3 linked regions of the Callithrix jacchus genome follow. The protein of the gene in region 2 purifies or fractionates together with the protein of the main gene of each other region. This does not show direct contact. Links are inferred from orthologs where the notes say so. Each region holds a gene or a part of one and is shown on either strand. Other genes may lie near its edges.

Region 1 (2,644 bases), on a different chromosome or scaffold from region 2:
TGTTTTCTATCCCCATGAACGGAGCAAAAAGTGAGTTACTTGGTGAACAGTTTCCTCAAACAATGCTGCAAATGTGTATAAAACAATTTTTGGACAAAGAAATGGCTGAACAACCTTATGGACAACATATAAACTTAGGAGGACTTATAACACCATAAAGCATTACATGCTAGGCTTTTAAGTCAGTTTAAGCTATATTCAAGCAAATTCTAGGAAGACAGGCTGAAAAGTACTAATAGAGATGTCAGGACTGCTGGCAAGGAGGGTAATCACATTTCACCTTGGGGCCTCATGTTAGAGAACTGTATTCTTCAATTAAACTGACATTCCTCACATTCACAAATGTAAATGCCCTTCTAAAAGAATCATGCCAACCAAGATGAGGGAGAGTTAAAAGAAGGTTTGAGGACATTTGGGATTTCACTTTCAAGAAAGAAAACACTGTGCCACAGAGAGATTTCAAGTGCAAGAGTTTGGACCTGAGGGAGTAATATAGGTGGTGTGTGTTAAGGTGGAAGGGGCTGTGGAGATATGCCTGATCAGGAAACAGAGGCAGGTGTTTTTGCATTTTATTAGCTACAGTATAGATCCCAGAGCTGCCTCATTCCCGCCCCTCCCCTTCCCCCACCATGGGGTCAGGCCTTGCCAGGAGCCCCTGCCTTTGCTGCCTGGGCCCGCTGGAACTCCTGCTGCAGCTGAGCAAGGGTCTCTCTCTGTTGCTCTGACTGCCGCTCAAGATCCCGGAGCTGGGATTCGTATCGCTTACTGAGGAAAGACAAGCAGAAAAGGAGAAATTAGTGGGACTTACTATGGAGGGTGCTAAACTCAAGAAAGAGACTTCTCTTTCTTGAGATCTAGGGAAGGGTGCAGAAGGGGTGTTGGAAGGGGTCTGGAGGAACTGGACTAGGGGCGACTATGGAGAGCTGTTCTGCAATGGTTCCTCAACTCCTCTACTCCAATGGTTCAGTTAGACTCACATTTCAGCTGTGATATAGTCCAGCCTCTTCCCCACTGTGGCCCGAGCCTCTCCCAGCTCCTGTTTGACCAGCACCGGACCCAGAAGTTTAAAGACCACGTTGGACCCATCCAACAGGGCCAGTTCCTGATGGAGGGATGGGACATATGTAATCAGAACCATGGCCAGTACAGGCCCCTCCTCGCCGCACAAATCCCAGTCCCTCACCTCTTTCACGATGTTATTTTCTGTTAGTTGTGCTTCAAGTTTCTGCCTCCCCGACATGGATTTACTCAAGTCTGGGGATGAGAGGAAAGGCAAGATTAGAAACATCAAATGTGCCACCAATCCCCACAATCCTAGTCAGGAGGAAATGGATCTGAGGAAGTAAACAAGGATGGGGGCAGCGGGTCAGTGAATAGGGACGAGTACTGACGCGGGAAAGTCTCCGCACGCGACGGCCCAGATGGGGCAACAGACCTTATCCTAGTATGGTTTTGGGTTGTGAGTGCATCGGGCGAGGCCACACTGACCCTGCTCCCTTACCCTTCTGTAGCTGTTGATATTTCTCCACTTCTCCTTGCAGCTTCTTTTGAATCAGCTCCGCCATGGCGGGGATGAAAGCTTAAGGGGAGCGAGAGAAGGGCGCTGGATCTTACTCTCTGGAAGGTACCTGAGTTCCCCTTTCTGATCTGGCCTGCGGAAATGATGGCACTCTTAAGAGGCAGCCCTGAGGGGGACCGCAAACTCCCCACGTCCCGGATATCGACTCCACCCTGTTCCCAGGAGATGATGGGCGAAACGCGAAACCCCGAACCCCTCAACCGAAATCCTAACCTACTCACGTTCTCCCTTTAGTAGTAATAAACCCGGAAGTAAACAAAGAATGCTGGGAAAAGACTGTGTCGGGAAGTTTCTTTCTGATCCTTGATGGGAAGTGTAGTTCTGACATGTTTAGTGAGTGGCGTTCTGCTAAAAAGACTAGACTCGGACATTTTTAGGCAAGACGGGGAAACTAATCCAGAAAAAGAAATCGCACCGCTACTTAGTCCCTGGTCCTGGACCTGCCCTTTTTTTTTTAAAGTCTCTCTTGTATAAGCTGTCGCTCGCGATAAGGTGCCAAGAGCTGTTCCGCCTCTCTAAAGAGAGCGTGCCCTCACTCAAGATGGCGTTAAGAGAGCTTCAGATTTGGTACGCTGCTGATTGGATGACGGACAGAGGGCTTCCGGAAGTTTTCAAGGCGACTGTAGGGCAGCTGAGAGGAGTTTTGCACGTGGATCGCCGTACGGGTGGGCGAGATGGAGACGGCCCCCAAGCCGGGCAGGGATGTCCCGCCCAAGAAGGACAAACTGCAGACCAAGAAAAAGGTAGAGGCCTCTCTGGGTGGGAAAATAAGTTTTTAGTTGCGGAGTCGGGGGGCGTGGCGTAGGTGCGGAGTTATTAGGGCTACTGATCTGCCCGTAGAAACCTCGGCGATACTGGGAGGAAGAGACTGTTCCGACCGCAGCCGGAGCCTCTCCAGGGCCTCCTCCTAACAAGAAGAATCGGGAGCTCCGTCCCCAGGGAGCAAAAAGTACTCACATCTTAAAGAAGTCTCGGATCTCTAAGAAGCCTCAGGTCCAGAAGAAACCCCGAGAATGGAAGAATTCGGAGTCCCAGCGGAGCTTGTCCGGGGTGAGCGTGGGACCT
Region 2 (3,667 bases):
TCTGCCCCTCAGTGGGCACCTCCCATCTGCCTGCTGTCCCCTCCCGGTCCCACCTAGGGTTCTTCCATGAGGCCTTCTTCTGGACCCTCTTCTATACCAGCTTGCCTGTCTTTCTCATGTCACAGCACATGCTAGACATGATCGTTGCTGGGGACACGCGGTACACAGACAAGGCTGTGGCCTGAGACACAGAGCTGCTCACCCAGCACACTGGGGAATGAGAAATTCTGACTTCATGTTTCCATTTGGAGGGCATGTGTGTGCACAGTCTAGTTTCTGATAGCCTAAGTGCCGGAGGCATAGCTGTTTATGTAACATTTGTATATTTACATGCTTTTTGTAGATAAATTTTATAGTGACTCATTTTGAGCCCCATTCTGTTTTTTTTTTTTTTTTGAGACAGAGTCTCGCTCTGTCACCCAGGCTGGAGTGCAGTGGCAAGATCTCAGCTCACTGCAACCTCTGCCTCCCAGGTTCAAGCGATTCTCCTGCCTTGGTCTCCCAAGTAGCTGGGATTACAGGCACCCACCACCATGCCCAGCTAATTTTTTTTTTTGAGAGACAGGGTTTTACCATGTTGGCCAGGCTGGTCTCAAACTCCTGACCTCATAATTTGCCCATCTTGGCCTCCCAAACTGCTGAGATTACAGGCGTGAACCACTGTGCCCGGCCTCTGCAATGTCCTGCACATACTCCGCTCATGCTTTATACTGGGTAGTCCAAGAATCCTCTGAACTATGTGGGGTGCACAGGCATTTTGATTCTCATTTTAGAGAGGAGAGCGGTAAAGTGACTCCAAGTCCTACAGATACTAAGTGGCAGAGCTGCAATGACAATTAGGGGTGCTCACAGAGAGTAGCTTTCCCTCCCCCAGCTGGCCTCCATAGTGCCAAGAAGGAGTCCTTTCAGGGGACTTGCGGGGGCACCTGGCTTGGCAGGGCATCCTGCGGGGTGGGGGTGGTGGCTGCAGCATCGTGTGGGTGGAGAGCGGGTGCAGGTTGGGCAGAGCCATGGCCTCACCTCCAGCATGGTGTCGATGATGACCAGCTTGGAGCTGGTTGCCATGGCGTCGTAGCAGGTGTGCTCCTGCATGAAGCGCATGTAGACCTGGGCACCGGGTTTCTGCAGCTCGTCATCCCAGCCCAGCTTGGGAAACAGGGCCTCCGGGGACCGGCTTGGGGCAGGCCTCTCTTCTACAAGGTCTTCTGGCTTACGCTCCCAGGCCTCTGTGGCTGGGAACTCCGAGGCCAGCTCCGCATCATCTGGGCTAGAGCCTGCAGCTGAGGCTGTGCAGTCATGGGGGAGGCTGTCCCACCCTGTTGGTGGAGTGCCCACCCCAGCAGGATCAGCCTGAGCCAAGGGTATGGCCTTGGGGAATGTGGCCTCCAGCCCAGTGGACTCAGCAGCTGGCCTGGACCGGGGACCTGTTTGGGGGAGGAGGGAAGAGGATAGTAACTCCATCTTCCACAACACTTTCTCATCTGCTGTCGCAGTTCATCTCACAGCAGCTTTGGGAAGCCTGGATGCTGTGGCCCTTCTGCAGGTGAGAGGCTGATCTGAGAGTCACTCCGGATAGGGACTCTGTCCCAACTCTCTGAGTTGGCCATACTGGCCCCCCACCATTACAGAGCAGTTGTTCTCTCCCAGGTAGGGAGACTGAGGCCACAGATGAGGGTTGGGTCCAACTCTGTGTTATGGAGGGACCCGGGACTTCCCACTGCCCTGGCTGTCATCTCCCCAGAACTGGCCTTGGTCTCACCTTCCCCCAGACCCGGTGGCTCCCCTTCCTCCACCGCCTCCTGCCTTGTCCATCTTGAGGCCTTGGCCCTCCGTTTCCCACGGATTCTTTCTGAGCTACTGGTCACGGCTGGTGATGGCCATGAGGTGCTGTCTTCTTGCTCTAGGAAGTTCATCTCTGGAAGGGAAACGGGGCCTGTTTGGTTAATAGGGAGTCAGAGCAAAGTCCATTCGAACATTGTTAATAATAACCTTCAGAATGTGCCACTTTCCAATGGGCTTTTCTCCAACATATTTCTCATTTGAAACTCACAGCAGCCCTAAAAGGTAGGCATTATTATCATCCCTATTGTGCTAGTGAGGGACCAGACGTTCAGAGAGGTTAAGCAGTTTGCTGCAAATCACACAGCTAGTAAGTGGGAAAGTCCCTTCTGAAAAGAGGAAAGAGGAGGTGAGGGAAGCACACCTGGGGAAAGGAGGAAGAGCAATAAGGAAGAAAGAACAAAAGGAGGAAGATAAAAGCCAGGCTGGGAGGGAATGGGGTCCCAGAAAAGTGGGGGGACAAGGAAGTGAGGGAAGAGGTCAGGCCCAAGGGAGGGGGCAATCTCCCTACCTTGATGCTCAGAATCCCCAAGGCTGCTCCAGGAAGGGGTCTGTGTGGAGAAGACTTTCTGACGGCGTGGGGAAAGAGCCTTATATCCCCAAACCACAGGTCCTCCCCTTCTCCTGCACGCACGCCTACACACCCATACACACCAGGACACACGCTCACACGGCCATGCACACACACACACAAACACACACAGAAACACACACAGCCAACCACTCCCAGGCCCACAGAGCCGCACACACTCACAATACATATGCCCAGACACCCACATGCCCATATTCACGAGAAAATCCTGACCAAACCCACACCAACAGACACCCATGTGCGCACACACATTCACAGCGTGTGCTCTCAATCTTCTGGCCTCAGCTGCCCCGGCTCCGGCTCCCCTGGGCCCTCATACCCTGCGCAGAGCGTGCTCCAGCTCGGGCTCCATGTGGCCAGCCCCGGACCAACGGAGAGCAAGTGTGCAACACTGTGGCTGAGCCGCACTATTCTGGGCCCGGTGTTGGGCACCCTGCCCTGCCAGGGTCGGTTTCTCTCTGATTGGGTGTCAGGCAGCGGGAGGGAGGAGCCCCCACTCGCTCAGCTGCTCCAGCTCTGAAGCTGGGGCCTGCTGGGAGGTAAAGAGTGCACCCGATCATCTGCGTACCTGGTCCTTAGCTGCCTCCTGGGTCACTGGGGACAAGTAAGAGGGACCCATTATCCGGGGATGTGGGAACGTGTGCACTGGGCACAGTTGGGCTCTCAGATCCTGGGCCCCTATTCCAAAGGCCTCTCTCACCTTTATCAGGCACCAAAGCAGGGAACATGGAGGGAGGTCAGTGTAACTTTCTTCCTTACTCACTTTCAGCAGAGGGTGGTGCTGGAGTTAGAAAGGGCAAGTTGCAGCCAGCTTAGAGGCTGGCGAGGAGGCAAGGGGTTTGTGGGTAGTTCCAGGAGAGCAGTCAATGTATGTCCAGATATCCAGATTTGAGTCCCTGGGGCCTGTCCCTCTCTCAGGTAGAGGAGGTGGAGTGGGTGTTTCAGGCAGGTGAAGAGCTGTGAGAATCACCTCGAAGGTTTGGGGAGCAGTCAGAGCTCCCCACAGGGGAAGAGACACCTGTTTCCACCTGTGGTTGGGAGAGATGCCTGGGTGTGCAGCTGTCCCAGCCCCCATCCCTCTGTCAGTGCTGTGCTGACATCCCTGGTGCCAATGGGATCCCAGCCTGGCTCTGGTGGCTGCCCACCCCCTTCCTTGGCATTCCCGGAGCCTGAGTCAATGTCCGGATCGGAAATGCTGACCCAGCTGCTCTGGCTTTCCTCTTTCTGCCCCTCCCT
Region 3 (3,750 bases), on a different chromosome or scaffold from region 2:
CACCATCTGCCCCCAAATACATCAGTAATCAAAGATTTCTTAACTTTTTTCCCTTCAAACAATGTGCAGTCCCCAGTATAGTAGGAACTTGATTAAGGCTAGCTGGGACTGTTCCCTGTTTATCTGGTGCAATACTAAGCTCAAAGGCAGAAACTTTTGCTTCCCCTGCAATACCTTCCTTGGAACAAAATATTGCCTAATGCATGTTTTATTTCAGAAACAGAGAGGAGAAAATCAGAGTTGGGTAATTTTTGTTGGGATTAAAAATGACATTTTTAGTTTTTTATACTGTTTCATGAAGGTCCTTTTTTTTTTTTTTTTTTTGCCATTGACACTGGCCCAATGCTATGACATTGCAAAATTGAGAGAATATAACAAAACACTTGACTTTGCCTACTAATTAGAAGAGTGAAACTGAGTAACAAACTCAAACATTTTATTTAAAATAAGGAGACTTTATGCTGTGGTAACTAAGTATTACTCATTGCAAGTACAATAAATATTTGTTGATCTGATTGATGTTACCGTAAGCCTCCTTCTCAGTCCAGTGAATGTAAAAATTTTACTGATAATCTAAAAGTATTAATTCCTATACACCACAAGTTCTGCATATCACCCCCCTCTTGGAATACACATTCACTTGCACATCTCCCCAACCAGCTCTTCGCAAGAGAGCTTGCTTTGGGGAGGAAATTTCAGGATAATCTGCAGAAGAAAACGACGACAGCGCTCCTGGAGCCGTCCTGGGGCTCAGTAGCAACTTACCGGCTCAAAGCGAAAAGAGACCGCCGGTTGGGGGTGGGTGGGAGGGGGCGAGGGGCGGGAAACTCCATCACAGACGCAAGTGAAAACTGCGGCTTCTAGATTCCATCCGAGAAAGAAAGATGAGAATCAAGGTTAGAAAGGAGTGGCAGGGCGGTGTCCCCTGCCTTGCTTTAATTCTCGCGGTCCTCGTAACCGCGGATCTGCATCACCCGAGCGGGAGTGATGACTCCAGTCCTCATCTCCCTTCTGGAGTCACCCAGAGAGGGGGTCTTCTCCGATCCCCAAGTGGTAATTAGGGGAGATCACAGCGGGCAGAAACTCCGCCAGAAGAGAAGAGCCGGGGGCCACTGTCCGCCTCAACGTTCCAGGAAGCCCCTCCGCGTGCCAGTGGGCGGGCACCCAGGCCAGAGGATGCGGGGCGAGGAGGCGGGTACCGGTGCCACTCCCGGCGGTCCTCGCCCGCCCCGCCAGGGGGAGCGTCTGCGCCCGACGGCGGCAGCGGGTCCTGGGCGGGCGGCGCAGGGCGGTGGCTCTGCTTGGCGGCTGCCCTCCCGCGTCCCCACCCCCTCCCCGCCCGCCCCCGGCGCGGCCCTGCCCGCCCCCTCCGCCCCCTCCCGCGGCGCCATGCGCAGACTCAGTTCCTGGAAAAAGATGGCGACAGCCGAGAAGCAGAAACACGACGGGCGGGTGAAGATCGGCCACTACATTCTGGGGGACACGCTGGGAGTCGGCACCTTCGGCAAAGTGAAGGGTGAGAATCACTGGGGTTAGGCTGGGCCCCAGGTGGGGAGCCGCAAGACTTCCGCTTTCCGCACCTCTTCATCCTCCCCCGCCCCCTACGTCCCTCCTCTCCGGGGCTGGGTAGCCCCTGTCCGGGCTCCTCTGGGAGCTCTTCCCGGCTGCCACGGGGCTGCGGCGCGGCCAGCCCTGGCCCAGTGGGGGTGGGGGGTGGACCAGTCGCCATGGCGACGGCGCCGCGGCCGGAGGGGCCAGTAGTAGCGAGGGGCGGGGTTGCGGAGGTGCAAACTTTCCCAGGTCGGGCTGGCGGGCGGCGAAGAGCGCTCTGGTGTTGGGAGGAGGGGGCGCCGGGCGCAATCCTCGGGGAGGAGGCCAACCGCGCGTCTGGGTTGTGCTCCCGTGGCTCTGGGCCAGCCCATCGCTCCTTGGCGGTCCTCGGCGTTGTCCGTGTTCCGTCGTCTGTAGGAGGTTGTCGATTACCGGCCCCCGCTGTTTCCCGAGTGTGAAATGTGTTTCCGCAAAAATAAGGTTGCTTTTTGGGTAGCCTACATCATTTTCTTTTTAAAGGCCATCTCGTCGGAAAGGATCACTGGTTTTCTTCTGAGCAGTTAATGAATATAAACTGGTTCAGTATTTGCGATGCATGGTTTACATTCCGAATGAGACTCTGCCTTTAGTGTTTCTGAATTATCAGGAGTTTCTCTGTGCGAAACTTGGTTGTTAGTGCAGATGTTGCCTCCAGATCGTATTCATTACGTTATTAATACAGTTCTTTTCCACTTATTTTCAGTTAATACAGTTTTCCACTTATTTTCAAAGGTTATTTGTATTATGATAAACGATTTATGTGCATATCATTTGAACGTGTGTTTAAAGAAAGATGTACTGGGTGCATTGTACACCATTCGGGTGATGGGTACACTAAAATCCCAGACTTCATTACTTTGCAGTTCATTTGTGTAACCAAAAGCCGCTTGGACCCCTAAAGCTATTGAAATTAAGAGAAAGAAAAGCATGGACTGTTTCAAAGCAATATTCTGGAAGTAAATTTGCTCTACAGCCCACCAATTCTGGCCAAAAACGTTTAATTGCAAGCTTTGCGAGGTATGACTCTTTTTTTCTTTAAAATATTTGACTTAGTTATAAGGGATGTAGAGAAAGGAAGTTTGGAACTAATAAAAATGCTTCATGCATTGCCTTTGGATAAATAGTAGACTGACTTGCATATAGTAAGTTCTTGGTAAATATTTGACTTCAAAGAAAAAAAGTTCGTAAGTCTGTATGGTAACTTAACTGAGACTTGCTCTCCCAGAGCTAAATAAACATTTTCTGATTTTGTCTGGGGTTGTAAGAGACTCTCTTGCCATTTTCTGAGTCATAGAATTGGAAAATTGCTGTATATCCCACAGGGAAGCAACTGCCTGAATCTTCTTGTGAAAATCGGCAAGGCCGACAATGTCCAGAGGAAGTAAGAAGCAAAATGCCAGAATCCGATAATAACAGCTGTTAGGACAGGTCCATATAAGGCCAGTAAGATGTTTTTGTGCCCTGGAAGTTTTAAGTTTATTTTTGGCTATGATATTTCTTGTTAGCAATTACCAACTGCTTTTTAGTTTACAAGTATTTGTAAAAAAATGTTCATTTTTGCCCCCACCCCTTCCCAGTGTTCAGATTGGATTAGGGTGTTCATTATTCCCCCTAATATAGACTTGAATGAAGCCAGGTCTGGTTTTATTTTTCCCCCAAGACGGAGTCTTGCTCTGTCACTCAGGCTGGAGTGCCTTGTCATAATCTCACTCACTGCAACCTCCACCTCCCGGGTTCAAGGAATTCTCCTGCCTCAGACTCCGGAGTAGCTGGGATTACAGGCGCACACCACCATGCCCAGCTAATTTTTGTATTTTTAGTAGAGATGGGGTTTTACCATGTTAGCCAGGCTGGTCTTGAACTCCTGACCTCGTGATCTACCCACCGTGGCCTCCCAAAGTGCTGGTATTACAGGTGTGAGCCACTGTGCCCAGCCTGATCTGTTTTATTTGCTAAGTGGTTTTTGGCACGGCAGGTAGTAAAGCAAGAGATTTTTCATCCTCTGCATTTGATCTGTGATATGGTTGTTACATGAATGTCTCCAGTGACTTTGCTGTTTCTTAACCTTCACTTCTCCACCCACATGTACTTCTATTGGAGTACCATGTTCTGTTAGAGTCAACAAACTCTCCAAATGTACAAAGGCCAATATTAGTCCAA

What was found.
Region 1: the proteins of PRKAG3 (region 2) and PFDN6 purify together in Homo sapiens (affinity purification with mass spectrometry; 3 studies listed by BioGRID and IntAct, with this or other methods). This does not show direct contact. The link is inferred for Callithrix jacchus from reciprocal best matches to the Homo sapiens genes PRKAG3 and PFDN6.
Region 3: the proteins of PRKAG3 (region 2) and PRKAA1 purify together in Homo sapiens (affinity purification with mass spectrometry; 3 studies listed by BioGRID and IntAct, counting the BioPlex papers as one, with this or other methods). This does not show direct contact. The link is inferred for Callithrix jacchus from reciprocal best matches to the Homo sapiens genes PRKAG3 and PRKAA1.

The regions. Positions count from the first base shown.
Region 1 is NC_133505.1:41,531,743-41,534,386, reverse strand, and holds PFDN6 (prefoldin subunit 6), read right to left. Parts: upstream 1,837-2,644; 5' UTR 1,801-1,836; exon of another isoform or gene 1,793-1,800; intron 1,653-1,792; 5' UTR 1,566-1,652; coding exon 1,502-1,565; intron 1,255-1,501; coding exon 1,184-1,254; intron 1,103-1,183; coding exon 978-1,102; intron 766-977; coding exon 636-765; 3' UTR 553-635; downstream 1-552. Other genes in the region: WDR46 (WD repeat-containing protein 46), read left to right, coding at 2,254-2,322, 2,420-2,629. UniProt on the Homo sapiens protein: Binds specifically to cytosolic chaperonin (c-CPN) and transfers target proteins to it. Binds to nascent polypeptide chain and promotes folding in an environment in which there are many competing pathways for nonnative proteins.
Region 2 is NC_133507.1:140,561,297-140,564,963, forward strand, and holds the start of PRKAG3 (5'-AMP-activated protein kinase subunit gamma-3), read right to left. Parts: upstream 2,817-3,667; 5' UTR 2,784-2,816; coding exon of another isoform or gene 2,751-2,783; 5' UTR 2,670-2,750; coding exon 2,351-2,669; intron 1,916-2,350; coding exon 1,760-1,915; intron 1,425-1,759; coding exon 1,021-1,424; intron 1-1,020. UniProt on the Homo sapiens protein: AMP/ATP-binding subunit of AMP-activated protein kinase (AMPK), an energy sensor protein kinase that plays a key role in regulating cellular energy metabolism.
Region 3 is NC_133503.1:164,777,375-164,781,124, forward strand, and holds the start of PRKAA1 (5'-AMP-activated protein kinase catalytic subunit alpha-1), read left to right. Parts: upstream 1-1,171; 5' UTR 1,172-1,176; coding exon 1,177-1,516; intron 1,517-3,750. UniProt on the Homo sapiens protein: Catalytic subunit of AMP-activated protein kinase (AMPK), an energy sensor protein kinase that plays a key role in regulating cellular energy metabolism.